Cricetulus griseus: one gene and its partners. The protein of the gene in region 3 purifies or fractionates together with the protein of the main gene of each other region. This does not show direct contact. Links are inferred from orthologs where the notes say so. Each region holds a gene or a part of one and is shown on either strand. Other genes may lie near its edges.

Evidence for each region.
Region 1: the proteins of Hnrnph1 (region 3) and Hnrnpa3 fractionate together in Homo sapiens (co-fractionation; 3 studies listed by BioGRID and IntAct, with this or other methods). This does not show direct contact. The link is inferred for Cricetulus griseus from reciprocal best matches to the Homo sapiens genes HNRNPH1 and HNRNPA3.
Region 2: the proteins of Hnrnph1 (region 3) and Tardbp purify together in Homo sapiens (affinity purification with western blotting; 3 studies listed by BioGRID and IntAct, with this or other methods). This does not show direct contact. The link is inferred for Cricetulus griseus from reciprocal best matches to the Homo sapiens genes HNRNPH1 and TARDBP.
Region 4: the proteins of Hnrnph1 (region 3) and Hnrnpdl fractionate together in Homo sapiens (co-fractionation; 3 studies listed by BioGRID and IntAct, with this or other methods). This does not show direct contact. The link is inferred for Cricetulus griseus from reciprocal best matches to the Homo sapiens genes HNRNPH1 and HNRNPDL.
Region 5: the proteins of Hnrnph1 (region 3) and Ddx5 purify together in Homo sapiens (affinity purification with mass spectrometry; 4 studies listed by BioGRID and IntAct, with this or other methods). This does not show direct contact. The link is inferred for Cricetulus griseus from reciprocal best matches to the Homo sapiens genes HNRNPH1 and DDX5.
Region 6: the proteins of Hnrnph1 (region 3) and Hnrnpr fractionate together in Homo sapiens (co-fractionation; 3 studies listed by BioGRID and IntAct, with this or other methods). This does not show direct contact. The link is inferred for Cricetulus griseus from reciprocal best matches to the Homo sapiens genes HNRNPH1 and HNRNPR.
Region 7: the proteins of Hnrnph1 (region 3) and Hnrnpa1 purify together in Homo sapiens (affinity purification with mass spectrometry; 7 studies listed by BioGRID and IntAct, with this or other methods). This does not show direct contact. The link is inferred for Cricetulus griseus from reciprocal best matches to the Homo sapiens genes HNRNPH1 and HNRNPA1.

The regions. Positions count from the first base shown.
Region 1 is NC_048599.1:99,406,211-99,409,710, forward strand, and holds part of Hnrnpa3 (heterogeneous nuclear ribonucleoprotein A3), read right to left. Parts: intron 3,072-3,500; coding exon 2,982-3,071; intron 2,898-2,981; coding exon 2,802-2,897; intron 2,715-2,801; coding exon 2,634-2,714; intron 2,153-2,633; coding exon 2,009-2,152; intron 606-2,008; coding exon 483-605; intron 400-482; coding exon 347-399; 3' UTR 330-346; intron 241-329; exon of another isoform or gene 1-240. UniProt on the Homo sapiens protein: Plays a role in cytoplasmic trafficking of RNA. Binds to the cis-acting response element, A2RE. May be involved in pre-mRNA splicing.
Region 2 is NC_048595.1:7,784,997-7,787,735, reverse strand, and holds part of Tardbp (TAR DNA-binding protein 43), read right to left. Parts: intron 2,285-2,739; coding exon 2,121-2,284; intron 1,707-2,120; coding exon 1,566-1,706; intron 210-1,565; coding exon 39-209; intron 1-38. UniProt on the Homo sapiens protein: RNA-binding protein that is involved in various steps of RNA biogenesis and processing.
Region 3 is NC_048600.1:64,841,096-64,844,559, reverse strand, and holds the end of Hnrnph1 (heterogeneous nuclear ribonucleoprotein H), read right to left. Parts: intron 3,335-3,464; coding exon 3,275-3,334; coding exon of another isoform or gene 3,245-3,274; intron 3,184-3,244; coding exon 3,094-3,183; intron 2,390-3,093; coding exon 2,297-2,389; intron 1,892-2,296; coding exon of another isoform or gene 1,842-1,891; intron 1,254-1,841; coding exon 1,135-1,253; 3' UTR 501-1,134; downstream 1-500. UniProt on the Homo sapiens protein: This protein is a component of the heterogeneous nuclear ribonucleoprotein (hnRNP) complexes which provide the substrate for the processing events that pre-mRNAs undergo before becoming functional, translatable mRNAs in the cytoplasm.
Region 4 is NW_023276807.1:162,144,690-162,148,928, forward strand, and holds the start of Hnrnpdl (heterogeneous nuclear ribonucleoprotein D-like), read right to left. Parts: upstream 2,801-4,239; 5' UTR 2,651-2,800; coding exon 2,193-2,650; intron 1,431-2,192; coding exon 1,262-1,430; intron 1,179-1,261; coding exon 1,017-1,178; intron 669-1,016; coding exon 537-668; intron 425-536; coding exon 310-424; intron 66-309; coding exon 1-65. Other genes in the region: Enoph1 (enolase-phosphatase E1), read left to right, coding at 3,732-3,786. UniProt on the Homo sapiens protein: Acts as a transcriptional regulator. Promotes transcription repression. Promotes transcription activation in differentiated myotubes. Binds to double- and single-stranded DNA sequences. Binds to the transcription suppressor CATR sequence of the COX5B promoter.
Region 5 is NC_048600.1:119,732,270-119,736,351, reverse strand, and holds the start of Ddx5 (probable ATP-dependent RNA helicase DDX5), read left to right. Parts: upstream 1-1,282; 5' UTR 1,283-1,297; intron 1,298-1,443; exon of another isoform or gene 1,444-1,459; intron 1,460-1,765; exon of another isoform or gene 1,766-1,808; 5' UTR 1,809-1,949; coding exon 1,950-1,993; intron 1,994-3,165; coding exon 3,166-3,331; intron 3,332-3,939; coding exon 3,940-4,036; intron 4,037-4,082. Other genes in the region: Cep95 (centrosomal protein of 95 kDa), read right to left, coding at 902-920. UniProt on the Homo sapiens protein: Involved in the alternative regulation of pre-mRNA splicing; its RNA helicase activity is necessary for increasing tau exon 10 inclusion and occurs in a RBM4-dependent manner. Binds to the tau pre-mRNA in the stem-loop region downstream of exon 10.
Region 6 is NC_048595.1:16,990,615-16,994,755, reverse strand, and holds the start of Hnrnpr (heterogeneous nuclear ribonucleoprotein R), read left to right. Parts: upstream 1-1,341; 5' UTR 1,342-1,498; intron 1,499-2,018; exon of another isoform or gene 2,019-2,143; intron 2,144-4,141. UniProt on the Homo sapiens protein: Component of ribonucleosomes, which are complexes of at least 20 other different heterogeneous nuclear ribonucleoproteins (hnRNP). hnRNP play an important role in processing of precursor mRNA in the nucleus.
Region 7 is NC_048595.1:399,611,796-399,615,920, reverse strand, and holds the start of Hnrnpa1 (heterogeneous nuclear ribonucleoprotein A1), read right to left. Parts: upstream 2,801-4,125; 5' UTR 2,658-2,800; coding exon 2,643-2,657; intron 2,090-2,642; coding exon 1,973-2,089; intron 1,738-1,972; coding exon 1,591-1,737; intron 1,447-1,590; coding exon 1,236-1,446; intron 837-1,235; coding exon 744-836; intron 657-743; coding exon 564-656; intron 409-563; coding exon 334-408; intron 132-333; coding exon 1-131. UniProt on the Homo sapiens protein: Involved in the packaging of pre-mRNA into hnRNP particles, transport of poly(A) mRNA from the nucleus to the cytoplasm and modulation of splice site selection.

The DNA of each region.
Region 1 (3,500 bases), on a different chromosome or scaffold from region 3:
CTAATTGACACTACATTGCATTAATCAATAGCTGCACTTTTTGCAAACTGTGGCTATGACAGTCCTGAACAAGAAGGGTTTCCTGTTTAAGCTGCAGTAACTTTTCTTTTCTGACTATGGATCATCGTTCCTCCTGTGGCAGATTTTACAGTTCCTCTAATGCATTTAGGACGACTGTCTCAAAGTAACCTGCAGCTTTCCTGACAACTCCTCGCTCTCTCTCCTGCTAAGAACTGTAGCCTGTTGAATAATACAGGATAAAAAAATTATTACACTCAGTCAAGTTCCATATATTCTTTTATCATTTAAAAAAAATTTAAGATACCTACCCTTTTCTGCTGTATTTTTAAAACCTTCTGCTACCATATCCACCACTTCCACCACCAGATCCATAGCCACCTGAAAAATAACAATACAGTTCTAAATACACCTAAAATATTAACCAAGAATGCTCTTAAGAATTCTGATTAAAAAGAACTTACCACCATAGGGACTGCCTGAGCTTCTTCCACCAAAACTGCCCCCTTTCATGGGTCCATAATTTGATTGCTGTTGTCCACTATAATTTCCAAAGTCATTATAGTTCCCACCACCACCATAGTTACCTGAAATCACAAAGATATTTATTTATAGTTTTCCAAAATAATTATTTACCCCTTTATTTCAACTCATGGAAGCCAAGTATTATAATTATTTTAATGCAAGGATTTAACATTGACCTTAGGTACTAAACTCCATTACCATAAGCCCAAGTGATTTAATAAACAAATCCAAAAAAAAAAAAAAAAAAAAAAAGGGCATAGTAAGTGAAACACATCAATCAAGAAGACTATATTTCCACACTTCAGCCTGAGGAACATCTATTTTTTTTCCTTTGCCATTATATCCTACATACACACTCCTACCACATAATTTAGACCATCAAAAAGCACATTTATGAGTTAGGTTCAACAGTTCCCTAACAAAGATCATATTACCTTAATAATTGTGCATAACCCATGCTATAGTATGTAGCATGATACATAATACAGTAACACTCAAAGCATTCCATGAACTGATATACTACCCTATTCAAACAACTTACACATCCCATTTACCAAGTTTCAAAGTATCCAAGAGTTAAGGAAAAACCCAGCAACAAACCACATTTTAAAAACTTCCTTTGTAATTTACTAATTATAATTAGTAAGTATCCTTTTTACCAATTTACAATACACATTTTAACACTGCAGAAACATTTTTAAAAATCAAATTTGCTGGTGTGGTTGGGAAATGGATCCAAGAAGGTTCAAAGCCAGAGTCTAATACATATTTTAAGCTACCTGGGCTATAATAAAGTCCTATTTGGAATGATGAAAATATTTCTGGAATAGTGATGAGGTTTGTAAAATACTGTAAATATAAAAAAAAAAGAAAAAAGAAAAAAGCGGGGCGTTGGTGGTGCATGCCTTAATCCCAGCACTCAGGAGGCAGGTGGATCTCTGTGAGTTCGAGACCAGCCTGGTCTACAGGAACTAGTTCCAGGACAGCCTCCAAAGACACAGAGAAACCCTGTCTCCAAAACAAAAACAAACAAAAAAACAACCTGTAAATATGCCTTAACAGCATTGAATCCTACACTGAAACCTTTATTTTATTTTGGCTTTGGGTTTTTTGTTTTTGTTTTTCAAGATAGTTTCTCTTTGGAGGCTGTCCTAGAACTAGGTTTGTAGGCCAGGCTCCACTTGCCTCTGACTCCTGAGTGCTGGGATTAAGACACAGTGATCTAGAACTCAAGATCTCCCTGTATACATACCTTAAAAATTGTTTTCTAGTTGTGAAATGTATGCAGTGCCCATTTTTCCACAACTTAAAAATGGACATGGTAAGTTTACATGGATGAGATGTGTTTTAATATAGCTATTTAACACTTAAAACTTTGCCAGTGTATCCTTTAAACATTTCCAAGCACTGCAGAGAACTAATTTAAATGCTAATTTGTATTTACTTCAAACATCTGTTAACTTACCTCCACCAAAATTTCCTCCTTCATTGTAACCATCATATCCTCCTCCACCACCACCATATCCACCACCTTGGTTTCCATATCCTGGTCCACCACCACCATAGCCTCCTCTACTACTGTAACCAGGACCACCACCATAGTTGCCACCTGAAAAGAAAGCGACACAGAAACAAATGTTCAGGGAAGGCCAAATACTACACCATCACTGGCAATGAACCACTGAACAGATTTAACATTCCAAATCTAGTCAGAGCCAAGCAATCTTGATGGGTAAAACTTAAGATGAGTGTTTTTGTTCTTTCAAACAAGTCAGTTTTTATTTTCACTCATGACAATATAGCCTTACACAAAGCAATTTTAGCTCAACTGCTGATACAAATAAAACTTATTGCCAGAAGATAACAAGTTAATATTTACTTCCATCCTTGGGAAGAGGCTTCCTCTTCTGTGGTTCTAGTTATGAACTATACTTCAATCCATTCAAAGTTTTAGGACTGGAAGGTATGACACTTTTAAAACAGTTAAAACGCTATCATATCTATGTTTAAGTTTTCTAACTAGCAAAAGGCTATGTGGATTCCTGGCAATGCAGAAATTAAAAGACAAAACTCAGTCTTTAAATACTCACCATCACCTCCAAATCCATTATATCCACCATCACCACCTCCATAACTACCTCTGCTGCCACCACCTCCACCACCATAGCCTCCTGAGGAAAATCAAAGTTTGAATTAAAATGATACCTTCAACTGACTACTAAATTTATGATGCATTATACTAAAAACAAGCACCTTACCTCTTCCACCAAAGTTTCCACCACGACCAAAATTACCTCCACCACCTCCAAAGTTTCCACCACGACCCATAAAGTTGCCAGATCCACCTCCACGACCTGTAACACATGTTGAAGTAAAAACTTCAAAATCTTTCAACTACTGTTCATGTCTATTATTTATGTGCATATGATCCTACTTACCTCTCTGTGATCCAGCAGACTGCATCTCTTGTTTAGAAAGGGCCTTTTTCACTTCACAATTATGCCCATTAATAGTGTGGTATTTCTGAACTGTAAGTTTAAGTAAAAAAAACCACAAAGTTATTTTTTTGTTTGGAAAACCAAAGTGAAACCCTTGTTGCCATGCAATTAATTAAAATGATAGACTGAGAAGGGAATAAGAGGATATTTGGGGAATAAATGTTTTTTTGGGGGTAGTGGGGTTTCCAGAGACAGGGTTTCTCTGTGGCCTTTGGAGGCCTTATAGACCAACCTGATCTGCCTGCCTCTGCCTCCCAAGTGTTGGGATTAACGGCGTGGGCAACCACCGCCCAGCCAAGAAAAGTTAATCTAGATGGGTTTCAACCTCCACAGGGATCACATTATCAGATAAGCAAAACAGCAGCAAAATTACAGTGATGAAGTAGAAACAAAAATGTTATTGGGGAGGGGTCAACACAACATGAGGAACTATATTAAGGGTTACAGCATTATGAAAGT
Region 2 (2,739 bases), on a different chromosome or scaffold from region 3:
AAATTCCCAGCCCCGATACAAATGAAGAAGAAAAATACCTTATCATCTGCAAAGGTAACAAAGGCAAAAGCCCTGAATGGTTTGGGAATGAAGACATCTACCACTTCTCCATACTGGCAGAAGAACTGCTGAAGCTCTTCAGCAGTCATGTCTTCTGTACAACGCCCAACAAACACCTTTCTGCTTCTCAAAGGCTCATCTGGGCTTTGCTGGTCAAAAGGAAGAGTAGAAAAAAAATACATAAAGGCATACTGTCACTGCCCCCCTCCCTTTGCTTTTTGAGACAAGGTCTCACTGTCTATCTCTGGATGGCCTGTGCCTGAGTACTGAGATTAAAAGGTGTGGGCCCTTGTAATCTTGAACCAAGTACATGTCTGGTGCCCTTAAAGGTCTGAAGAAGGGATTGGGTCACTCGGAATTATAGTGTTGTGTGTTGCCATATGGGTGCTGAAAACTGAACCAGTCCTTCTCCAAAAACAATTACTAATTAACTTTTCTTCCTCATTTCCTTCGGATTTCTAAAACAGGCTCTCCCGTTTTAAGGATGGCCTTAAGCTTGATATGTGAGGACAATCTGGAACTCCTGATCCTGTTACTACCTCCCATGTGCTAGAATTACAGGAATGTAATACCAAGAGACCATTATGTCACATTTGCGATAGAGGTTGATGCTAGCCATCTTTCTTAGTCATTCTCCACCTTCCTTATGAGGCTGGGTCTCACTGAACTCGTATTTGGCTAACTAGACTGGTAGCCAGGCAAACTCCATGAATTAGCCTGCCTCCCGCCTCCAGGGGTGGGATTACAAGTATATCTTACCACACCTAGCTGTTAAACACAGGACCCCAGCACGTAGAAGGCAGAGGCAGGCTGATCTGTGTTGAGCTTGAGGCCAGTCTGGTGTACAGAGTGATAGCTAGGACCATGCAGAGAACCCTGTCTCAAAATAAAGATGTGTGTTCCCGCCAGGCATTGGTAGCACACACCTTTAATCCTAGCACTCAGGAGACAGAGGCAGGCGGATCACTGTTGAGTTTGAGGCCACCCTGGCCTACTGAGCAAGTTCCAGGACAACCTCCAAAGCAATACAGAGAAATCCTGTCCCGAAAAACAAAGTATACTTTGACCCCAAAAGAAATGTTCCAAATAATTAAAGTCTCATTTGCTTGTTTGGCGTAAGTTTGGGCTGGGGTTATAGGCTCAGTGGTCAAGCACTCGACACTACTAGGTTTAATCAGGGTACTCACATCTCTCTGAGTTCCAGCCTGGTCTACAGAGTGAGTTCCAGGACAGCCTCCAAAGCTATAGAGAAACCCTGTCTCGAAAACTCAGAAGAAAAAACAAAACTCCCTAAGATTAAGCTGAGTGGTAGTAGCCCACACCTTTAATCTCAGCACCTGGAAAGCAGAGGCAGGTAGGTGGATACCGAGTTTGAGGCCATCCAAGGCTACAGAGACACCTGCCTTGGAAAACTTTTCCTGCCGTCAATGTTTCCAAATGCACTTAATTTAAGGTCTTTTAAAAGAAAAAAAATCACCCAAGCATACAGGAAAAGAGCAAAATACCTTAGAATTGGGGAGTTTACAGTCACACCATCGCCCATCTATCATATGTCGCTGTGACATCACTTTCACTTGGGTTTCATATTCCGTAAATCGAACAAAGCCAAACCCCTTTGAATGACCAGTTTTAAGATCTTTCTTGACCTAAGAAAAGAAATTTACTCTAATACCACATATATACCAAATCAGAGTTCACATAGAAACTTGAATGGCTTCAACTGAACGAAAAAGCACATTAAAGTTTAATGTTTAATAACGTTAGTCCAAGGCAAGAATCAATAGGGAATTGCATCATTAACAGGGAATGAATGACTCACGACAGAACTTAACAATGTTTTACAATGAGCACAAATATAATAGTTCTAATATGACCTAGTTCCTTTAAACCAGTAATTTTCAACTTTCCTATTGTTTTCACCCTTTAATACAGTTCCCACTGTTATGGTGACTCTCCAATCATAAAATTTTTGGTGTTACTTCCTAATAAGGATCGATACTGTTATGACCCATATATACAGAATAAACAAAAGGAAAGCTGTTACCCAGAATCAAGTTTACCTGAACCATAAGAACCTCTCCAAAAGTACTGAAATAGTCTTTAAGATCTTGTTCTGTTGTTTTCCAAGGGAGACCCAACACTATTAGATCAGATGTTTTCTGAACTGCTCTTTTCACTTTCACGGCCGAGGAAGCATCTGTCTCATCCATTTTCCTTTTGTTATCTAAACAAAGCGAGCATAAACCCATATTTAGCAGTTCTTTAAAGATAGGTGGAGCTCTGTGAGTTCGAGGCCAGTCTGGTCTGCAAGCTAGTTCCAGGACAGCCAGGGTTATACCCCGTCTCGAATGACCACCCCATTCTAGTTTTATATTATCTTATTGAAAATTGATCTGTATACACATTTGTAAGCCGTTTCTGGACTTCTGCCCTGTTAGGCTGCAAACCACTGCAATTGCCCTTTTAAGTGTGTTCTAGAGGTAGACAGGATGTCTGTCTTGCTCTGCAAGTGTCTTTACCAAATCAGCTATCTCCCTGGCCCAGGATTTCAATAATGTAGGATTATAAAATCAACTGCATGTCCTCCTCAAAACCTGTATCTAAATCAATGCAATTTTACTTCCTTTTAATTTTGTGGCATGGAATTTATCTGACTGATCGAGGGTATCAGACACCTTG
Region 3 (3,464 bases):
ATCTCTTTCCTACCTAGTGCTCTGCCTTCCTAGTGCTTGGATTAAAGGCATGTGCCACCATGTCCAGCATTAAACTTTTTTAAGGTTCATTTTTGTTGTCTATATGGATATACCATCTTACAAATGAAGTTCAGAGGCTACTTGTAGGAATTTTTACTTCTACCAGCCAAGGCTACACAGTAAGACCTTGTCTCCAAGTTATTGGGTTTTCTGTTTGGTTCTGTTTTTATTTTTCGAGGTTTTTCTCCCAGGGTGGTGTTGATATACACCTTTAATCCCAGCACCAGGGAGGCAGAGCAGGAGGATCTGAGTTGAGGCCAGCCTGGTCTATGGAGTTCCAGGACAACCAGGGCAGTTAGAGACCCTGTCTCAAAACACACACAGTTTCTCTATGTAGCCCAGCCTTTCTATCATAGTCAGAGACATGGAATATGACCCCAGGTAGGAATAAAGCACCAAAGAAAGATCACATGACACTGAAGCACAGATACGACAAGGTGTAGCTTTTAAAAGGAAGATTTATTTGACAAGGTTCACTTAGCGCAATACACCTAAAAGGAAATCACAATACAATGAAAGACTTAAATCAAGGCCTCAGAATTTCATACAAACACCAAGACCAAAAATCCTAAAGTAATGGTATTGCGTCTCAAAATTTCTCCATCAACTTAAAAAAAAAGAGAAAAGCTTTAAACTCACGTGCCTTACAGGTTTATCAAATGAAATTAGAACAAACATGCCAAATGTTTCACTTTTAATTGTAGACGCAGCTCCTATAGAGTTTTACAAAAAAGCATGTCTTTTCAACATGCATCAACAGTGTTCAATGTAATGTATGTATAAGAGCAACATTTAACATAATTCAACTGCTTTAACCTAAATACGCTTACTGCTTACACACATCCTACAGTAACTAGAGAAAAGCTGGGAATTGTTTAACAGTTATAGTTCACTGTATCATCATCCTAGGTGACTATATTCAACATTGAACCTTAGTCCTTTGAGTGATGCCAATGTTCACTTAAGAGAGTAGACATAAATCACAAGGCTGGATTGCAAAACTGTTAAACTGAAGGTTTTTTTTTTTCCATTAAAAAAAAAAATGACCAAGAGTCAGTGATCAATCAAAATCAATTACATTCCCCATCCACCACTCATACTGGACATGCTAGACATCCCTCCCATTCCATTCACGCCCATAGATGCACGGCTTCCGCTATTGTAGTAGCTGCTGTTCACTGCTCCTTGGCTACCTGCAAAGAGATCAGTTTGACAAGTTAGGAATAGTGTCAAATAACCAATCAAATAAAATAACATTCCAAGAAAAAGTTTAAAAGGTATACGAGTGCAAATGGCTGCTGTCCAATTGGCGAGAAGCATGTTGGGAAAAGGGAATCCCGACTCCAAACAAATTTCAATTAAACCCTTTTCTCTGCAGTACCAACTTGCCAGACTCTTGTGCTACCATTTTAAGTGGATTCTTCAGGATCAACGTGGAAATTTTAAGTTTAAAGGAAAACTAGTGTTTTTCAAAAATTGCAAAATTACTTCCAAGTTTTTAAAGCTAAACAAAGCATTTAAAAATTTACCATAAACATGTACTATGTGTTCATCGAATGATGTGTATGAATAGGGAACACAGGGGAAGTCTTTTGCTTTGCCTATTCATGGTGGGCAAGAAGTGAGAGGACAAAAGTTGGACTAAAGGCAACTCACTGTGCCCAAAATGGCAGCCTCCAGGGAGTTAAGTCAGAGTCACTGACTGCTATAGAAAAGTGTTATCACAACATTATCAGTCTTTGCTATTGGGAATTTAAATTATTTTTTGAGAAAATATTTACCTATGCAATGTTTGATTGAAAATCACTGGAGTTTTCCTGTAAAACTTGGTCTGCAAAAGGATTTTGTAGGGTAAGACTATAATACCAAAATCACCATTCTTTAGACCAATTGAAAAAAAAATAAATAAAACCATCCCTAGGTTAACCGACTAGTAAAATACTGTCCTGAACCCAACCACCAGCCTAATATTTAAAAATTACCCTCCAAAAAATTTAATGCTACAACAGAAAAGCAAGCTAATTATTTTAATAAACGAACAGAGATGTTTTCTGCCTTGACAATATTCCAAAATTGCAATTACTAGGATACATCCCCCTCCTCCCAATGACTTTCTGTAAATTATACTAATAAGAATTGTAATAAAAACCATATTAATACCCCTCCTCTTTTCAAAAGGAGCCCAACTAGACAAACCAACCTAAAACTTACTCTAGGTATATAAAAAAAAACTTACCATATCCACTCATGCTGCTCTGGCCACCGTAGCCACCTCCATAACCACCACTCAGTTGCTGGCTGGCTGGGCCACCGTAACTGGACTGGTTTGCTGTTAAGTTAAGAGAACATTAGAGCTTTGCTCCTTATCCAATGTGGTACCTGGTGGTACCGGGCTTGTAATTCTATGTCTACGATTTTCCAGTCTTGATCTTAAATTACTGTCTCCTGCCTACTGTCTATGACAAGACTGTCTATGACCATATTAACCTTTATATTCATCATTTTAGCTAGCTCAGTGTTTATAAACCAAAGGGTTGAGGACTAAGTACACATGATTCACTAAGTAGAGGCATTTTTTGATCATCTTATGAAACTTTAGTGGGGTTTCCCCCTTAGCTTGATATATATTTAGATATTATACAGGTATCAATGAACACCTAGTTAATTATGCCCAAGTAATTATGTTACCAAATAAAAATTTTAAACCTTATGTTTGTTAAGTATTTTAAACTTACACTTTATAGACAGATACTATAACACAATCAATAGTCCCCTCCCCCAAACAAAAGTACTTGTATCTACTTTAAGTAAGCTATCCTAAGCAGGTTTATGTTATTTACAAGATTTTAGTAATTTAATATAGTAATTACAAAATTTACTTTGCCTGAATTTGTTTGCTAACTTAATATTTTTATTGTAGCTTAAAATTATTATGGTAACAAACTCTTATGCTAATTATAATATTAACTTAGCTTATTAACTACTTATACAGATATAAATGTTTTGGTTTTTAAAAAAACTAACGATATTTACACAAGCCCATGCCTCCCATCATTTGGCTACCATAAGCACCACCGCTTGCTCCTGCTGTAGAATTCAAGAAGAGTTCTACATATCTGTGTTCTGAAATGAGAGAAAAGGCATACAAGGTTAGCTTAAAAAAAGACACTAAAGTGATATTTACACAAACCCATGCCTCCTAGCATTTGGCTACCGTAAGCACCACCGCTTGCTCCTGCTGTAGAATTCAAGAAGAGTTCTACATATCTGTGTTCTGAAATGAGAAAAAAAAAGTTTGAAAATGTTTGTTGGTAAAAGAAAACAAGCAATTTAAAAGTAACTTGTGAATCACAAATGTTTTGGTGAAAAGAAAAAGAAAACTCCCATGTTAGAACTTAAGAACT
Region 4 (4,239 bases), on a different chromosome or scaffold from region 3:
ATTATAATTTCCATATCCTTGATCATAATAGTTATTAAATCCTTGGTTCCAGTTTTGGCCCTGACCTGAAACAATGCACAATGATTGTTAGGAAACCACTTTGGACTTTCCCGATCCTAACACAAAATGATTCATTCTTGTCCCCTACACTGTACTTACTAAAAACAAAACAAAAACCTCCCCACGAACCAGCCTTTACCATGTGGGGTCATTTTTAAGTTTCCATCTAGCTGTGTTCTCCTATGGGCCATTTTACCTAGCAGCTTACTGTTACAGTTTAAAAACCACTATTTCCCCGTCAAGTCTCACCTCTTCCACGTCCCCTCGTACCACCTCTTCCACCAGCCGCTCCACCTCTGCCACCTTTTTGTTGTTGCTGTTGCTGCCTGTATACCTCTTTGGGTTGTGCAACTTTGATTTCACACTAAAAACAAACAGAATTTTTGCATGTTCTAAGCTCTGAACACAAAAGTGGCTTTCTTTTCAAACAGGGTTTCCACATACACACTTCTCTTAATGGAATTCAATCTATTTACCTTCCCAGAACCTATTTGATGGTATCTGCTTTCTAATAATTTCTTTACTGGCTCTTCGTCTGTGTATGTGATAAAACAGAATCCTCTTCTTTCATTTGTTTTTGTATCCATGGGGAGCTCAATATTCTCTATCTGCAACCAGGTGCATTCAAAACAAACAAAACCACCCATTAGTGCAAGTGTACAGACTTCACAAACACACTCTACAGACCACTACTGTCTAAAAAGTCGAGTTATATTCTTTTACAGTGTCTTCTACCCCAGAGAGGCCACCAGTTGGTAAAACTTGCACCACTTTAATCCCTTGGGCTTTGGCTAGACCAGATTAGATACTGGTTTCCACCATGGCACAGAAAGTAGCAATTAAGATGCAAAACCATAAGGCACCCAAGAAGTAATTCAGGCCCATCTTGTGAAATACTAATGAACCCTACACAAACTTGAGCATTTCAAAAACACATTTATACAAACACAGCCCACCTCTCCAAAGGCTCCAAAGTATTCCTTAATTTGTTCTTCTGAAGTGTCTGGACTCAATCCACCCACAAAAACCTTTTTAGGGGGTTCTTTTCCCTTTAAAGCTTTGGCCCTTTTGGGGTCTATCAATTTGCCATCCAGTTTGTGTTCCTTCAGTTCCAAAACCTAGAAGACAAGTTAGACAGGAACTTAGAAGCCTATAGCAATTTGCAAGCAACACAAAAGCACAGTGCAAAACACACCCATACCTTATCCACACTAGCAGCATCTTTGAAAAGCACAAATCCAAATCCTCTTGATCTTCCAGTGACTGGATCTGTCTTAATTGTGCAGTCTACAACTTCCCCAAATCGAGACAAATACTCAGTCAGATCTTTCTTGCTTGTATCCCAGCTCAAGCCTCCAATAAACATTTTACTAGAAATAAAGTCATTTAAAAAAAAAAGAGACTTAACAGTAACTTAGTGATTACTTCAACCCTGTAATTAAACAATACAGTAGGTGCATGCAATCCGCTTTGATTACAAACACTAACAGACCACAAAAACCAGCTCAAACAAAAACTTGCTCAAACAAACCAGCAGACAGGTTGCTGTCTACAGTGCAAACACAAAACTTTATAAAAGGCCAACGAAGTCTGGTAGAGATTCGGCTCCGACTACTTTGGTTTGCAAAAACACAACTTGAACACCGAATCCGCCCCCTCCCTCCCCGACAACTTAAGTGAACTTTCATCCATAGCTCTCAAGTCAACTTGCTACCTACGGAACTCTTGGTACCAGCCGGCTACTGGTGCCCAAACCAAGTTTCCCAAACGTCCCCCGGAAAAAGTCGCCCCAGCAACAGCAACAATAACAACACAAGACACACAATGAAGAGGCGGCGGCAGCTGCAGCATGTGGCGCACCGAGCCCGGCCCCTCCCCCCCGCGGCGCCTGCGCACTCGGGACACCGACGGCGCCGCCTTCCTTCCCCAACCCCTCCTCCCTTCCCCCACCCGCGGCGGGCCTCTCGAGTCACCCCCCCATCTTACTTTCCACTAGTGGGGAAGCTACTGGGGTCCAGCGGGCACGCGGAGAATCGGCTCGGGGAAAGAGTGGGGGCAGCGCGCGCAGCTCCGGAGGGGGCGCGGGGCGCGCGCGGGGCTCTGGGGGAGGGGAGGAGCGGAGCGTGCGGTACCCGTCATCCTGCTGGTTCTTGCTCGCGTTGATCTTGGATCCCTCTGCGAACTCCTCTATGTTGCTGTACTCGTTCATGTCCTCCATGCTGGCGGAGCCGTCGGCGAGGGGGTGCTGGCGCGCAGTGCGGGTCCCGGCGGCGGCGGTGGCGGCGGCGGAGCGTTGTATGGAGCCGGATTTAAAATGGCGGCGGAAGAGATCCGGCCGCCGCCTGCGCCCTCCCTTTATAGCCGCCCCGCCCGCCAATCGGGAGGGCTGCTGGGCGGTGACGTGGCGCTGGGTCCGGCGCGCCCCCTGCCGGGAGGAGCTGGAAGCGAGCGAAGGGAGGAGCGGGGCGAGCTGCCGGGGAGCCCGTGGTCGCCAATGGGAGAGGCTACGGGAGGCTAAAGTAGCGGGAGCGGAGGGGAACAATGGCGGCGGCTGCGGCTGCACATGGGAAAGCCGGGGCGGGACCTCCATCGCGGTGCTCCGGGCGAGGAGCGAGGTCGCGCTGGGGGTCGGCCTGAGAGAGCAGGAGAAGTCAGACGCGCAGGACCGAAGCGCAGGCAATCCCGACGGCGCCGTAGCAGGGCCACAGTCCCTCTTGCCTTGAGAGCCTTTTGTGTCACCGCGTCCAGTCCGCCGCGCCCTCAGTCCCCCAATGCGGAGCTGCGGCGGTGGCGGCTATGACCGCCTGGCTGCTCCGGGAAGAAGGCGGCGTGCACCCGGGGCTGCTTGCTGATGCTGCAGCGCGCCCGCAAGCTCGCCCGGCGCACGCGTGCTCTGTCCTTGCGCGGGCTGAAGCCAGCCGAACCAGAAAGCGGACGCAAAGCGACGACCCTCTCTGTTCTGGCGGGGACTGCGGCTTTTCCGCCGTCGCCTCGGGGCGCTGTCTGCTCGGGGGGCGGGGGGGGGGGGCTCGGCTGCAGGATCGCCGCAGCCCGATGCGTGCGGCCGGCCTCCCGGGCTGGCTGAGGCCGCGGCGGAGGGCGGGGCCTGCTCGGAGGACTGAAGCTGTGCCAAAGCGCACGCGGTGGGCGGGGAAGGGGGTCGGGTGCCGGAGAAGGCAAGGGGCACTCACGTCCCCGGCGCGCCACTCACGGGGCTCCCGTCTGCACGTGGCCCGGGCCGCTCGCGCCGGCTCCCTCCTCCAGGCTGCGGAGGACTGGCGCCCGCGCTCCGGGATCCGGGCTCTGGTGTTCGCTTCTTTGTTCCCGCCCACGCGAGGCCCATTTTGACGGATCGGGTTCGCGGCTCGCCGGTGACCAATAGGAGCGCGCTCCCTGCTTTCCCCGCCCCCCTCGGAACCCAGAGCACCGCCCCCTCTGCCCACGTGGTCTGGGCCTGCGCCGCTCGCCTGGTCTTTGGGTGCAGCGTCTTGGGCGGCTTCCTCTGCAGTCGCGGGTACCCCGAGCCGGCCTGTGCCCACCTCTCTGGCCGCTCGCTGCTGCCAGTTCTCAGATTGTTGCTGGGCTTCGGGAGCCCGAGGCGTCCTGGGGGCACAGGCTGTGTTGTCCTCTTTACCAGCGCGGCCGAGCCCGTGGTAGCATCCGGCAGGGAAATGGTCGTGGTTTCGGTGCCCGCCGAAGTCACAGTTATCCTGTTAGATATCGAAGGTACCACAACCCCGATTGCTTTCGTGAAGGTGAGGGGCGGAAGGGAGCGGGGAAGTTATTTGTGTCTAAAAGCATCTGAAAAAGAAATCTTTCAGTGTTGCGGGTTTTGCCTATGGGCTCAAGGAGAGGTGGTGTGGCTTTGCGTCTCTGGAATGGGGAAGAGTGAGGCGGCGGGGGGTGCTTTTCCTCGCGCCACCATCTTCTCCCTCCCCTGTCTTTGCTTTTGGTTAGGTAGAAAAGGATAGGAAGACGTGGAGGTGGTCTCAGCAAAGGCCTGGGGGAGGGCAGGTCAGCTGGGAGGAGGTGAGATGACAGGCCTGCGGGTAGGTGTGTGCCCTGTCTCCTGGAGGATGAGAGTCCACCATGTGTTGGGCTGTGGTCTGGAGAGGTGGTGGCCTTGATTAGTGGTCCTTGAGGTTTAGGTCTTCCCTAATGCAAAAGACAGAAGTGAAA
Region 5 (4,082 bases), about 55 Mb from region 3:
AAGATAGTTGTAAATGATAATCTGAAGTTGCCTGAATCTGACCTAGGTGGCTCCAAATTCCCAATAGTTTTATGCAATTATCTTGTGTAAGTTAAGATCTCTTGGTGCCCAAACAAGTGATTAATTGAGGCTATTAGAAACTGGAATAACGACCACACCAACACTAATGCAATTGTTTTCTTTTTATTGTATTTGCTGTATAAGGAGGTAAATATGAGGAAAACACAAACACAGAGCTAGCTCTGAACTAGCACATTAATACTGCTCAAGTTCTCCATTTTTTAAAAAACGGTTCTTGCCCTCCCCTATATAGTGCAAGACCAAGTTTAAGGGTTTCAGCAATAATCCGAAAGCTTGAAACACCTGTATCCTAAAATGATTGGTTATTAAAGGCAAGGCACTTTAGAACCAAGCCATGACAACCATTTTGTATGCTGTCCTGGGGAGGAGGCAAGGCGTCCTAGACAACCGAATCAATTGGCTTTTCAAAGGCAGTATTAGACAAAGCCGTTTACTCTAGAGGACATCAAAAGCTCTTATGAGTGCGATGCCTCAAAAAAAAAAAAAAATCAATACAGAAGAACATTCCGCCTTAGTCCCTACAAAGCAAAAGAGGAGACACAGCCTGTGTCTAATGTCCCAGAGAAGGGTCCTTTACTGCTCTGTAAAGACAGGATGCGGGTGTCCCAGCCTCGCCAGCGAACCGAACCCCTCGGCCACATCCCAATTGTCCGTTCCACGACTAGACCCTAAATTCAGAGGCGCCCGCCCACTCCCCCGCGATGGCCACTACTGTGCGACAGTCACGAGCCTCTCCAGAAGCCCAGACACGGTTCGGGTCGGCCCGCGGCCAGCTGGATGCCGCAGGGCGCAAACACTAGGGCTCCAGGCCGAGACTCACCAGCCTCTGAGCTGGCCATACTGCCAAGAAAGGTCGCGGCCGGACTCCGAGACGAGAGCGAGCGAGCGAGGGAGCGAGCGCTGGCGACGGTGTCCTGCAAGGGCCGGGCCGGGCCGGGCGGGGCGGGGGGGCCGAGCCGGGGAGGAGGGGGTAGGAACCAGAGAGCCGGGAAGGAGGGCTGGAAGAGGGCGGGACGTTAAAACGGCTTCTCGCCGCTGATTGGTCATCGGAGAAGCACTTCCTTTCGCGGCACGCGCTTCGGCGGCGGTTTGCGGGCTCTAGATACCATTCCCCGCGGGCCCGATCCCGCTTGAGGGCTCTCAGCTCGGCCGGCCAGGCAGCCGGGTCACCCAGCAGCCCGGCCGCTCTCCCCGGGGCCTCGGAGCCGCGCTTCCGGTGAGTCTGCGGGAAGGTATTCCTCCGCCGAGGCCAAGCGGAGAAGTAGTGCGGCCCGCCTAGCCCTGAGGTGCAACCACGTGACAACGGCAGGCTCCACCTCCCCGGCTTCTTCGGTCATGGGCGTGGGGGAGCCTGTGGAGACGTAAACATCTTCTTCAGGTGGAGACGACGGGCTGGCTGGCTGGTGCGGGCCATTGTAATGGCCGGCTGGCCGCGGGGAAGCCACACGAGTGCGGGGCGAGGCGCCCTAGCGGTGTCACCCCGCCGGGAAGGGGGTCATAAACGGGCGCCTGTGAGGGAGCGCCCGCGGGGGGAGGGGCGCGGACATGGCGGATTCCCGAACGCCAGCGGGCGTTGAGGCCTCCCGCCGGGGGGAGGGGGGTGGGGCGATGAGGTCATAGAGCGGCTCCCAGCATCCTCTGCGGCGAGGAGGCGGTCCAGACTATAAAAGCGGCCGCCGGGACGCAGCCGGCACCTCATTCATTTCCCTCGGCCCTCGGGTTTACAGCTCCGGCTTCGTCACCGCCCGTCCCTCCGCCGGTGACGCCCCCGCAAAGGCTTCGCCGTCGCCGAGGCCTCCTCTCAGCGACTCGTCGCGACTGGGTTGTCCTTCACTGGGTCTTTCCCGCTCACCGCAACCATTGACGCCATGTCGAGTTACTCCAGCGACCGAGACCGCGGCCGGGATCGAGGGTGAGTGTGACAAGGGACCTGTCAGGCTAGCGGGTGGGGGATGGGCAGCCGGCCGAGCGAGCGAGCGGGCGGGCGGGCGGCGCTCGGGTTTCCAACCGACCGACCCTGGGGTTTTCAGGAAGGAGGCCTTGAGGGTTTTTATTTTTGTTGTTGTTATCCCAGCTGATTAAAAGACGTTAGGGGCGGCGCTCCCAGGAGTTGGGCTCCGCCTGGCTTTTTTTTTGGTTTGGGAGGCTCGGGTCCCGTGGCGACCCCGCGGCTGTCGCGGGGATCTCCGAGGAGGGTTGTAGTGTAGGACGAGGAAGCGCCGCGCCTTTGAGGCGGCTCCGAGGCGTTGTTCGGTGCAACCTTCCGGCGGGTGTTTTGGGGGCCCCCGGTGTTACCGGGGAGCGGAGGGGTCGCTTTCGAGGCCATCCGTGCCGTGGAGGGTGGCCGACGTCGGCGGGTTGAGCCATGTGGCCGAGCGGCGGCCACAAAATGCCGGCCTCGGACATGGCGGCGGCGCCTTTGTTACCCCGCCCGGCAGAGGCGCTCAAAATGGCAGCGTCGAGAAAATGTGGCGCAGAGAGAAATGCGAGACAAAGAAGGAAGCGCCGCCCCAGCGGGAACGCAGCCCGGCCCGGGACTCCTCCCCCGGTTGTCGCCGGCTCCTCCTCTTTTTTTTTTTTTTTCCTTCCCCTCGCGTTATGTAATTTTGCTACCTTGATTAGCTGCGGTTCGCGGCGAGTTCGCCCCTTGCTGCCCTACCCGCAACACCTTCCTCGTTCACCTGCCCACATCGCCTGCTCGGCGCCGTTTTCTTTAAGAATCAGTTCCTTTGGTCGGAAACAGTGGCAAAAATAACCTTGTTAAGCTCCTCCCTTCTTGCCCAGCTCCTAATTCCTAAGCCCTGTGGGGAGGGTATATGGAGCCTCAGGCTGTTATCTGTCCTTGTAATCTGAACTTCAGATGTTTGGGCAGCCGACCTGGTAAATCCAAGCTGCTTGTTTGGCATCAATAGTGTGTGCTTGGGACTATAGTAAAAATATATTGTGCCAGTTGTTGCTGTCTAGAATTGACAATTGGGAGGGATTCCAGAAATGCACTTTGGCTTTATATCAAAAGACATTAAATAAAATGTGAGTGCAAACATAACAGAACTTTTTTACAATGTGGCTTCCCCCCCCCTGTAGATTTGGTGCACCAAGATTCGGAGGGAGCAGAACAGGACCCCTCTCTGGAAAGAAGTTTGGAAATCCTGGGGAGAAACTAGTTAAAAAGAAGTGGAATCTGGATGAGCTGCCCAAATTTGAGAAGAATTTTTATCAGGAACACCCTGATTTGGCAAGACGCACCGCAGTGAGTGATTTAATGTGGCTTTTACTGGCTAACAGCTTCTACTCAATTGGATTGAAGCTGACAGGTGCCTTGCAAATGTCTCGAATTCAAATTATTATTTGTGGTGTGGTTTCCAAATGTGTCCATTGAATCTAGTGTAAAAATTATTTGAGCCAGGCGCTGGTGGAGCACGCCTTTAATCCCAGTAATCGGGAGATAGAGGCAGGCTCAAACAATACAGAGAAGCCCTGTCTCGAAGCACCAGAGGGTAAAAAAAAAAAAAATGTGTATTGGCCAGGTGTTATGGCACTAGTCTTTAATTCCCATCACTGGGGAGACAGGCAAGCCAATCAGCCTATTTGGGCTACATAGTGAGACTTTTTGGTTTTCGAGACAGGGTTTCTCTGTGTAGCTTTAGAGCCTATCTTGGCACTCGATCTAGAGACCAGACTGGCCTCAAACTCAGAGATCTGCCTGCCTCTGTCTCCCGAGTGCTAGGATTAAAGGTGTGCACCACTAAGGCCCTGCCCTAGGTGAGTGTTTTAAGTACATAAAAATTGCTGCTGAGCTGTAGGGGACTTGTCAGTGCAGTTGGCTGAGGTTTGAGACTGGGGTCATTTGTTTTTCAGCAAGAGGTAGATACATACAGAAGAAGCAAGGAAATTACAGTTCGGGGTCACAACTGTCCAAAGCCTGTTCTGAATTTTTATGAAGCAAACTTCCCTGGTAAGGACTAATTTTCATCTCAATTCTTTTCATTTGTTCCCTCTTC
Region 6 (4,141 bases), on a different chromosome or scaffold from region 3:
TCTGGAACTCACTTTATAGACAGGCTGGCCTTGAACTCACAGACCCTCTGTCTTCCAAGTGCTAGGATTAAAAGTGAGTGCCACTACTGCCAGGCTTCTAAGCTTCTTTTGAGCCATCTCTCTAGCCCCCCGAACAGGGTTTAAAATTGTACAGTTCTGTAGGTAGGGAAGTCCAACGTTGTTGGGCACAAGGGGTAATGGCTTTTTTGCAATGTCACCCTATGGTGGGAGTGCAAAAGATGCTGAGAAAATCAGAGTCAGACATCAAACTCAAAGCCTGAAGCCCTTCCATAGTTAGCATTAGCCCATTGAGGGTGGAGTCCTAGTGCCTGACACACCTCCCACTAAAGGCCACACCCCTCACCACTGTCACAGAGGCCATCAAGTCCGCCACACCTGCATTTTTGCAGAAGCACTTTAAAAAACGCGGGGTAGATGAACAGTAATTACATTTTGGTTTATCGGCTTTGAGAAACTTGATCTCCAGGTACATTTGGAAGCAAATCTCTTGACCCTCACTGAGGTGGCAGTTGGGGTAGGACCGGAGTGACAGGTGAGAGAGAGGTTTATGAATAAGAAGAATTAGTCTCTTTGGGGGAATGACTGACTACTTTGCCCCCTGCATGGCTTTCAGTCATAGATCCAGTGCCCTACCTACTCTGTGCTCCAAACTCCGGAGTTCCTGACTTCTGTTAACATGGCTCTTGAGTCAGGTCCACTTTATCCACTTTATTCTGTGTGGAAAGGAGCCAGGGAGGGGAACAAGTTTTCCCGATCGTTCCAAGGGATGCTTTTCTACCGAAAAATCTCCAGCCAAACGAGTCAAATCATCCTTCAGCTGTGTTTTGACCGGAGCCAAGACGACGTAGCGCGGAGCCCAGCGCGTGGCGAAGGGTGTGTTTGGGACCTGCCAGCCAGGCGTGAGGGAGGGTTCGAGATAAGCAACTCCCGCGCCGGGTGGCAGCGAGCGCCATTGCCGAGCGTGGCCGCTCGCACCCGAGGGGGGCGGGGCTCCGGAGGCGGCCACGCGGCGCGAGGCCTAGATTTTCCAGCCTCGTAACCGTGGAAGACGAAGAGGGAGGAGCTTCGGCCACGCACGGCCTGCAGCCCCGCAGCCTCGCCACTACCAGGGGCTCCCACCAACAGACCCCTTTGTGTGCATGCCCCCGCCCCGGAGGCGCCTCAGCCAGTGGCGCTGAGAACCCTCATTGGCTCAGCCCGACGGCCACACCGATTGGCTCGCGGAGCCACCGGCATGGGGGCCGCTTTCCCTCTCTCTGATTGGTCCGCCGAGCTGTCTATCAGACAGCCTCAGGAGCCGATTGCTCGGCCGCACGGAGTCCCTGGAAGCAGTTCCGGGAGACCCCGCGTGCTGCCGGGATCGCGTCTCTGTGCTTGAAGGGGGGGAGGGGGTGGCGCGCGCGCCATTTCTGGTCGTTTTCAAAGCGCCTCGCGCTGATTCTCACGGGCCAGGCCGCCGGCCCCCCGCTCTGCCCTGGTGAGTCTCGCGCTGGCCCGTGGGGGGAGGGGCCGGGAGTCCCGGTCTGACCGGACTCGGCCCGGCCCACGCTCGGCGCCCGGGTCTGCAGTTTGGGTCTTGGCTCCGAGGCCCGAGGGTGGGGGTGGGGATGGGCCGGGGGCGGCTTCTGCTCGGGCCGGCCGCGCAGCCGCGGGCCTGAGTCCTGCCGCGGCGCCTCCTCCCTCGCTCATCATCCTCAGCCCCTCCGGCGCCCGGTCCCTCGGTCCGCCGTCCTCCCCGCGGCCTGCCGGTCTCGCGGCGCTTTTCCCGCCTCCGCCCGCCGGTGGCGGCGGCCGGGCCGGGCGAAGGGTTCCAGGCGTCCCCCCGGCCCCGGCGCTTCCCCCTAGGCCTGCGGTCAGGCCTGGCTCGCACATCGCCGGCCGGCGCGGGTGGGATGTGTTGATAACCGGGTCGCGCCCGAGGGGGTGGGGTGAGCCGAGGGCGGGGTGCAAATCCCAGGGTTACCTGAGCCGGGAGCAAACTTTGTGGGAGTCGGAGCCGAGGGGCCGAGGTATGGGGGGGTGCCTCCCACCCGATCCTCATCCTGCATGCTTGGAGCCGAGATTTGAAGGAAAAAATGACTACTTCAGGCCGTGACACTTGGTCGAGCGGCGCCTGAGCTAGGTAATTCGGAGAATGTCACAGGCGCTCCACATTGGAAAAGCTCTTTTTCTTAACACCGTAGTAACCATGTGGCCAGAATTTCAAGACGAAAGCCCAGGGGTTCTTGAAAGGTTCAATCCTTTCTTGTTACCTGTTTGAGATTTTTTTCCCCCCACCTGCCCTTCAATGGCAGAATGCATGTGTCAGGGAATCTCAGTCGTAGTGATTAAGGGCTTGGCACCACCGAGCTTTGAGATAACGGTTAGCTTTCGTTAGTTCTTTTAAAGCCCTTCTTAAAATTTTGCTTTAGAGATGCTGGCCCAAAGTCAGGGAGGATCTAGTACTGACTTCCCAAGTCTCCCAGTGGCCCTTATATATTTTATTTAAATGGCTTTATTTTGTAATTTTCTTTCTTTTTTTTTTTTTTTTTTGCAAAAAAAAAAAAAGTTCAGGTCAAAGGATTCCAGATACGTTAGTATATTTGCTGCATCCAGAAATATGGTTTGGCTGAGTGGCATTGTGTTGAATTGACATGAGTTTTAAATGGTCTCATAACATAAAAGTCTTTTAAAGGAGCACTTTGTATTCGGCTTGAAGAGGTGTTATGTTTTGTTTTGCCTTGTTCTGAAGGTTTTATTTTCTGGAATCTATTTTACCTTTTTTTTTTGTTAAAGTTGACAAGATGGAAATTGTAAAACAATTTCAATATTGATGATAGTCATAAGTATCTGTCTTGTGCTTAATACATAACTTGTCATTTTGCTTCACGCATACTTTTAAGAAAACACTTCACCTTAACAGATGTTCATTGAACTCCTTTAATTTGCCTCTCCTGTAACATAGTAGTCACAGGTGTAGTGCTGTAAGGTCTTGTGGTAGAATTTTTCAGTTTTGGTGATCTTACTGTAGTGGTTGGGAGGGGATGGGAAAACACAACTATATGTTCACAAAAAGATTGGGGAATTTAGAATGCTGCTTTATAGTACTAGGTTGTATTAATCAGTAAATATGCTCATCTTATGTGCTAATAGTTTCTTGTGCCAGTTTTGGATGTTTCCATTTTTTGCTAGCTCATCAGAATCTGACCTTTGCCCATTCAGACTTAACTACAGTCCGCGTCTCTAGAGACATTAGAGGGCTAGGGAGAGTTTTGTGATGATGGGAAGTCATGCTGTTTAGGTCATTTTCAGAGTAACACTGTTCACATTTTCCTTTCTACTGTTGCCTCCCTGTCCTCTGTCTTTCTCCTCTCGTTAACTTCTACTAAATATCAGTGGATGTTCAAATGAAGAGCTGTTTTATGTCAGGAAACAGCACCTGGTGCATTTGCATAGTGTTTGATGAGTAATCTGGAAGTGATTGGTTATTTTAGGCTCTAGTGCTTTTAGGTGAGTTGTATTTTCTTAGCTGGCTATCTTGAGTTTCTCTAAGAAAAGCAGGCATTTTCTTGAGACCCACCTTCATCATGCCTTTATTTCAGTATGTGCCTCAGTATCTTTATTGTGCCACCAGTTATTCTTCATCGCATTATAATTTCACCACAAACACACACTTTAATTCCCTGACTTTGAGGTAGTATAGACTGGCCTTGTATGCTTTTGTGATTTACTGTCTCTTCAGGGAATTGGTCCATTTCAGCATTATATACAGGCTGAACATACAAAATGATTTTGGTAGGTTAATCTGAGAAATATGACTGAAGTTTATGCCAATTAGATAGTGTTTGTAAAGTTTTTTGGAAGTTTTCCATTCTTCAGTATTTTTTGCAACTTTTTTTCACTGACAAGAAAAATTCAATTCATACTCCTGATTTTTTTTAAGCATGAAGCAACCTCAACTATAGCTCACTTATTTTTATGTAAACTTTAAACAATGGCTTAGCTTTTAAAGTTGGTCATTTTTTCTTTTAAATCTGTGAATGGGAATAGCAAATTAATCATAGCACAAAACTAATGTGAAAGTTGTGTTTTTTTAAGTGAGTTGGAGAGAACCCAAGCCACCAGCTCGTTGAACTGGATA
Region 7 (4,125 bases), on a different chromosome or scaffold from region 3:
TCCTCCGTTGTTATAGCTGTCATAGCTGCCACTCCCGCCATAGCCACTGCCCTGGTTTCCATAACCCTGTCCACCACTTCCATAGCCTCTGCTTCCTCCAGAGTAACCAGGGCCGCCTCCTCCATAACCACCTACAAGAATACAAGCCTTCTCAATAAGACAAAAGTATTTAACAATAAAAATCTATGCAAGTGTAATGACTAATGGCCTGCTCACAGCATGCGTATTACGGGGCTGGTTGATTTTGTCATGCACTAGGTTTAGTGTCTACTAGCCTAGTCTAAAGGTATAGGTTGCTAGAAATTTTACTTACGGATTCCTTAAGAAACTTACCGTCATTACCAAATCCATTATAGCCATCCCCACTGCCACCATATCCACCACCACCACGGCTACCACCGAAGCCACCTGTAAGAAACCAGAGCTTTAGGTATATGAATGAAGCAAATGCTAATCTCTGTGTAACGAAAACTTATGTTTTGGGTAAAATCTAAATGCTATAAACAAAGACTAGCAGTTATCCATCGTTCCAAAAGCAATTAAGAAATCCAAAAGGTACACACCTCGACCACTGAAGTTTCCCCCTCGACCAAAGTTGTCATTGCCGCCAAAACCACCTCCACGACCACCACCAAAGTTTCCGGAACCACTTCGACCTTAAGAGATGTTTGGATCATTACATTAGACCAACTTGCAGCAACAACCCAACTACCCTCTGCAAGTTCTAACTAAGCAAGAGATACCTCTTTGGCTGGATGAAGCACTGGCCATCTCTTGCTTTGACAGGGCTTTTCTCACTTCACAGTTGTGGCCATTCACAGTATGGTATTTCTGAACTTAAAAAAAAAAAGTTAACTTTAGGGCTTTAAACACACTGAGTCCCAGTCATTAAGAAATCTGAGCACGATGGGTGTTGGTGGCCCACGCCTTTAATCCCAGCACTCAGGAGGCAGAGGCAGGCAGATCTCTGAGCTTCAGACCAGCCTGGTCTACATGAGCTAGTTCCAGGACAGCCTTTAAAGCCAGAGAAACCCTGTCTCGAATCCACCCAAAAGAAAAATGTAATCTGGCTGGGGGGTGGAACACCCCATAAATCCCAGCATTCAGGAGGCAGAGACAGGCCATCTGAGTTTGAGGGCGGGTCTCATTTCCAGGAAAGGACCCAAAGCTACAGAATATTCCCAGTTTGTGGGGGAGGGAGGAGGAGGAGAGAAATCTAATTATCTGACACTTACTAACAATCTTGTCCACAGAGTCATGGTCATCAAAGGTGACAAAAGCAAACCCTCTTTTTTTCCCACTGCCTCTGTCCGTCATGATTTCAATCACTTCAATCTTCCCATACTGCTCAAAATAATCACGAAGGTGATGTTCTTCAGTGTCCTCTTTAATACCACCAACAAAGATCTTTTTCACAGTTAAGTGGGCCCCTGGTCTTTGAGAATCCTAAAAGGAAAATGATGCAGTCATTATTAGTACATTTCAAATGATTGGCAGCTGTGGTGGCCCACGCCTTTAATCCCAGCACTCTAGGGGTCTATCTGGCGTCTAGATAAAAGAGAACCCAACTATTAGCATAATAACACTCACTTCTCTTGAAACAGCTCTCTTAGGTTCCACAACTCTGCCATCCACCTTGTGTGGCCTTGCATTCATAGCGGCATCTACTTCTTCCACAGTAGCGTACGTGACAAAACCAAAGCCCCTGGATCGCTTCGTATTTGGATCTCTCATTACCTGTTTATAGAGTTAATTCAATCAACATATTGCCTGATATCAGGACCTGAGGCCATTCCAACTCTGAACATGTCCAGCATAAAACTCCATTTAGACTCAAGCATAAGGCCCCCAAACAAAGATCCTTTTAAAATTATACCATTAATTACCTTCACAAAGCATCTGGGTAAGAAGTGCGGCATGATTAAAGCAATAAAATTAAACCAGCCCCGCCTTTTGTTCCTTCTAATCTTACCACACAGTCGGTGAGTGTTCCCCATTGCTCAAAATGGCTTCTCAGACTCTCGTCGGTTGTTTCGAAGCTCAGCCCTCCAATGAAGAGCTTCCGCAGCTGTTCCGGCTCCTTGGGTGACTGAATCGGATCAAAGGAGAGCCGTTAGCTAAGGGGCTGGAACTTGAGCGAATGGATCAACTCCACGCATCAACATAGGCCGCACTTTTTTATTGTTCTTTATTACAGCACAAGACCACGTGCTCCTCTCTGGGCCAGGAGGTGCTGTTGGGGCGTGGGGGGGAGGACTAGCATGCAGCGCATGCGTCCCTACTCTATACGCACGCGCAACAAAAGACACGGGCTGGACTGGTCAATCGCCATTAAAACTTACTGAAGCCTTAGCAGACGTTAGTTAGGCAAAGCCAAGAAAGAAAATAAAAAGAGCCACAACCCCCAAGGTCGCATATCTGTGAATTCTGCCACTAGGAGCCGAGTGTGGAAACTAGCGGTTAGCGGACGGCAGCCTCATGGCGACTACGAGGACAAAATGGCGACCTGCACTTTGTGAGCAGGCCTCGGCAACGACCGATCAAACACCGAAAGCATGGGTGCCAGCCAGAAAAATAGGTCGCATCCCGTCCTGTTCATTGCGTATGGAAGGAAACGAAGCCGCAGAGCGCGCACAACTCACCTCCGACTTAGACATGACGGCAGGGAAACGAGAGCCTTCAGCGATGCTTCCTCCGCCGCGTCAACAGGCAGAAAGGAGTAAGTCAACGAACGTATCCGCCAGCCTACCTTCGGCTCGCCTTTTTATCCCGCCTCCTCGCTTTCGGCATTGGTAGACTCCGCCCTGGCCTTACTCTGATTGGAGATCTGGAATTGTTCCCGCCCACTCTAGGTCTGTGGATCCGCCCTGCTAAGAGATGGCATCTGCTGGGGCGTTCTACGCAGTCTCCGCCCTTCGGAGTCATCGACGCTCTGGGGGATTTTTTTTTTAACCAGGTTGATTGACTAGCTAACCAGTGGTTTATATTTGAATGTACCCATGTCTTTAAACGCCTTGCATAACTTCCCAGCGTCCGAACATTATAACCTCACTTGGCAAAACACGACACGTTAGGAAAAGTAGTTCGCTACCACTTTTGCAGCCACTGCCCGGAGAGCGCATGTGTAATAAAAATGGCGAGTTTACGCCGGCGCACTAAGGAGTTCCGCTCGCCTACTGAACACGTGAAATGGCGGGCGGCGGGCGGGAGAGGGCGGTGAACCTAAGGCGCCTGCGTACTGGCGGGAGCTGCGTCCTGCTTTGCGCAGGCGTTTTGGGCGGAGAAAAGGTCTGGGCCCAGGATTGGTTGCGCAGGCGCAGGGAAAGGATCCGTTTTGGCGGGCGGCTGGCGTTGCGCAGAAGGCGGCGGTAGCGGGTGGCTTGTGGTGCAGCTTTACCACAGAGGAACCGCGCAGGCCTTAGTGTGAGTGGTCACTGTAGATCCCGGGTAAGTGGCAGAGTCTTGACTAACCGTGGGAGTTCCTGGACCCGCTCCAATTGGACTCGTTATTGTACGAAATGAATGGGCCCCGCTGGACTTGGGGGAGCGACAGTGAAGGGGCCGCGATGGGTCGGGCCAGCCAATGGGAGAACGGGGGCGGGATGTTTTAATTCTGCCAGGTCCTTTTGGGCTGCGCTACCAGAGCGTTTGACTGACGAGTGTATAGGCCAATTGGGTCTTCCTATAGCTGCCTACGGATCGGCCCTTGGGCCATCCGAATGCGGGAGGCGGGCTTTTCCCGCCCGAGTGGCGTCTCTCAGAGCCAATGAGCTCCAAGCGCGCGATAGGCCGGCCTTCTCCAAGCGGCAGAGGCTGGACTCCAGTGGGGAGCGCGGGAGTCGGGAGGTTAAATCCATGGACCAAACCTGGATCAAGTAAATGGAGAGATTCCTTGAAAGAGAGGCATCTTGCCTTCAGAGGGAATTGTAGGGGTGCATATTTTATCTACAATGACTCCTATAGTGGAGGCAATCATTCCCTACATCACCTTAACGAAAGCATGTTTTCTTGTTCCCCTCTAGTTTGGCATTTTTCTTGCTCTTTTAGATCCCTTCACTTGATATTTTGAAGAACTTAGGGAGGGAGGCTTTAGTTTTTGAAAATTCTTAAAGGAAAACATTTAAT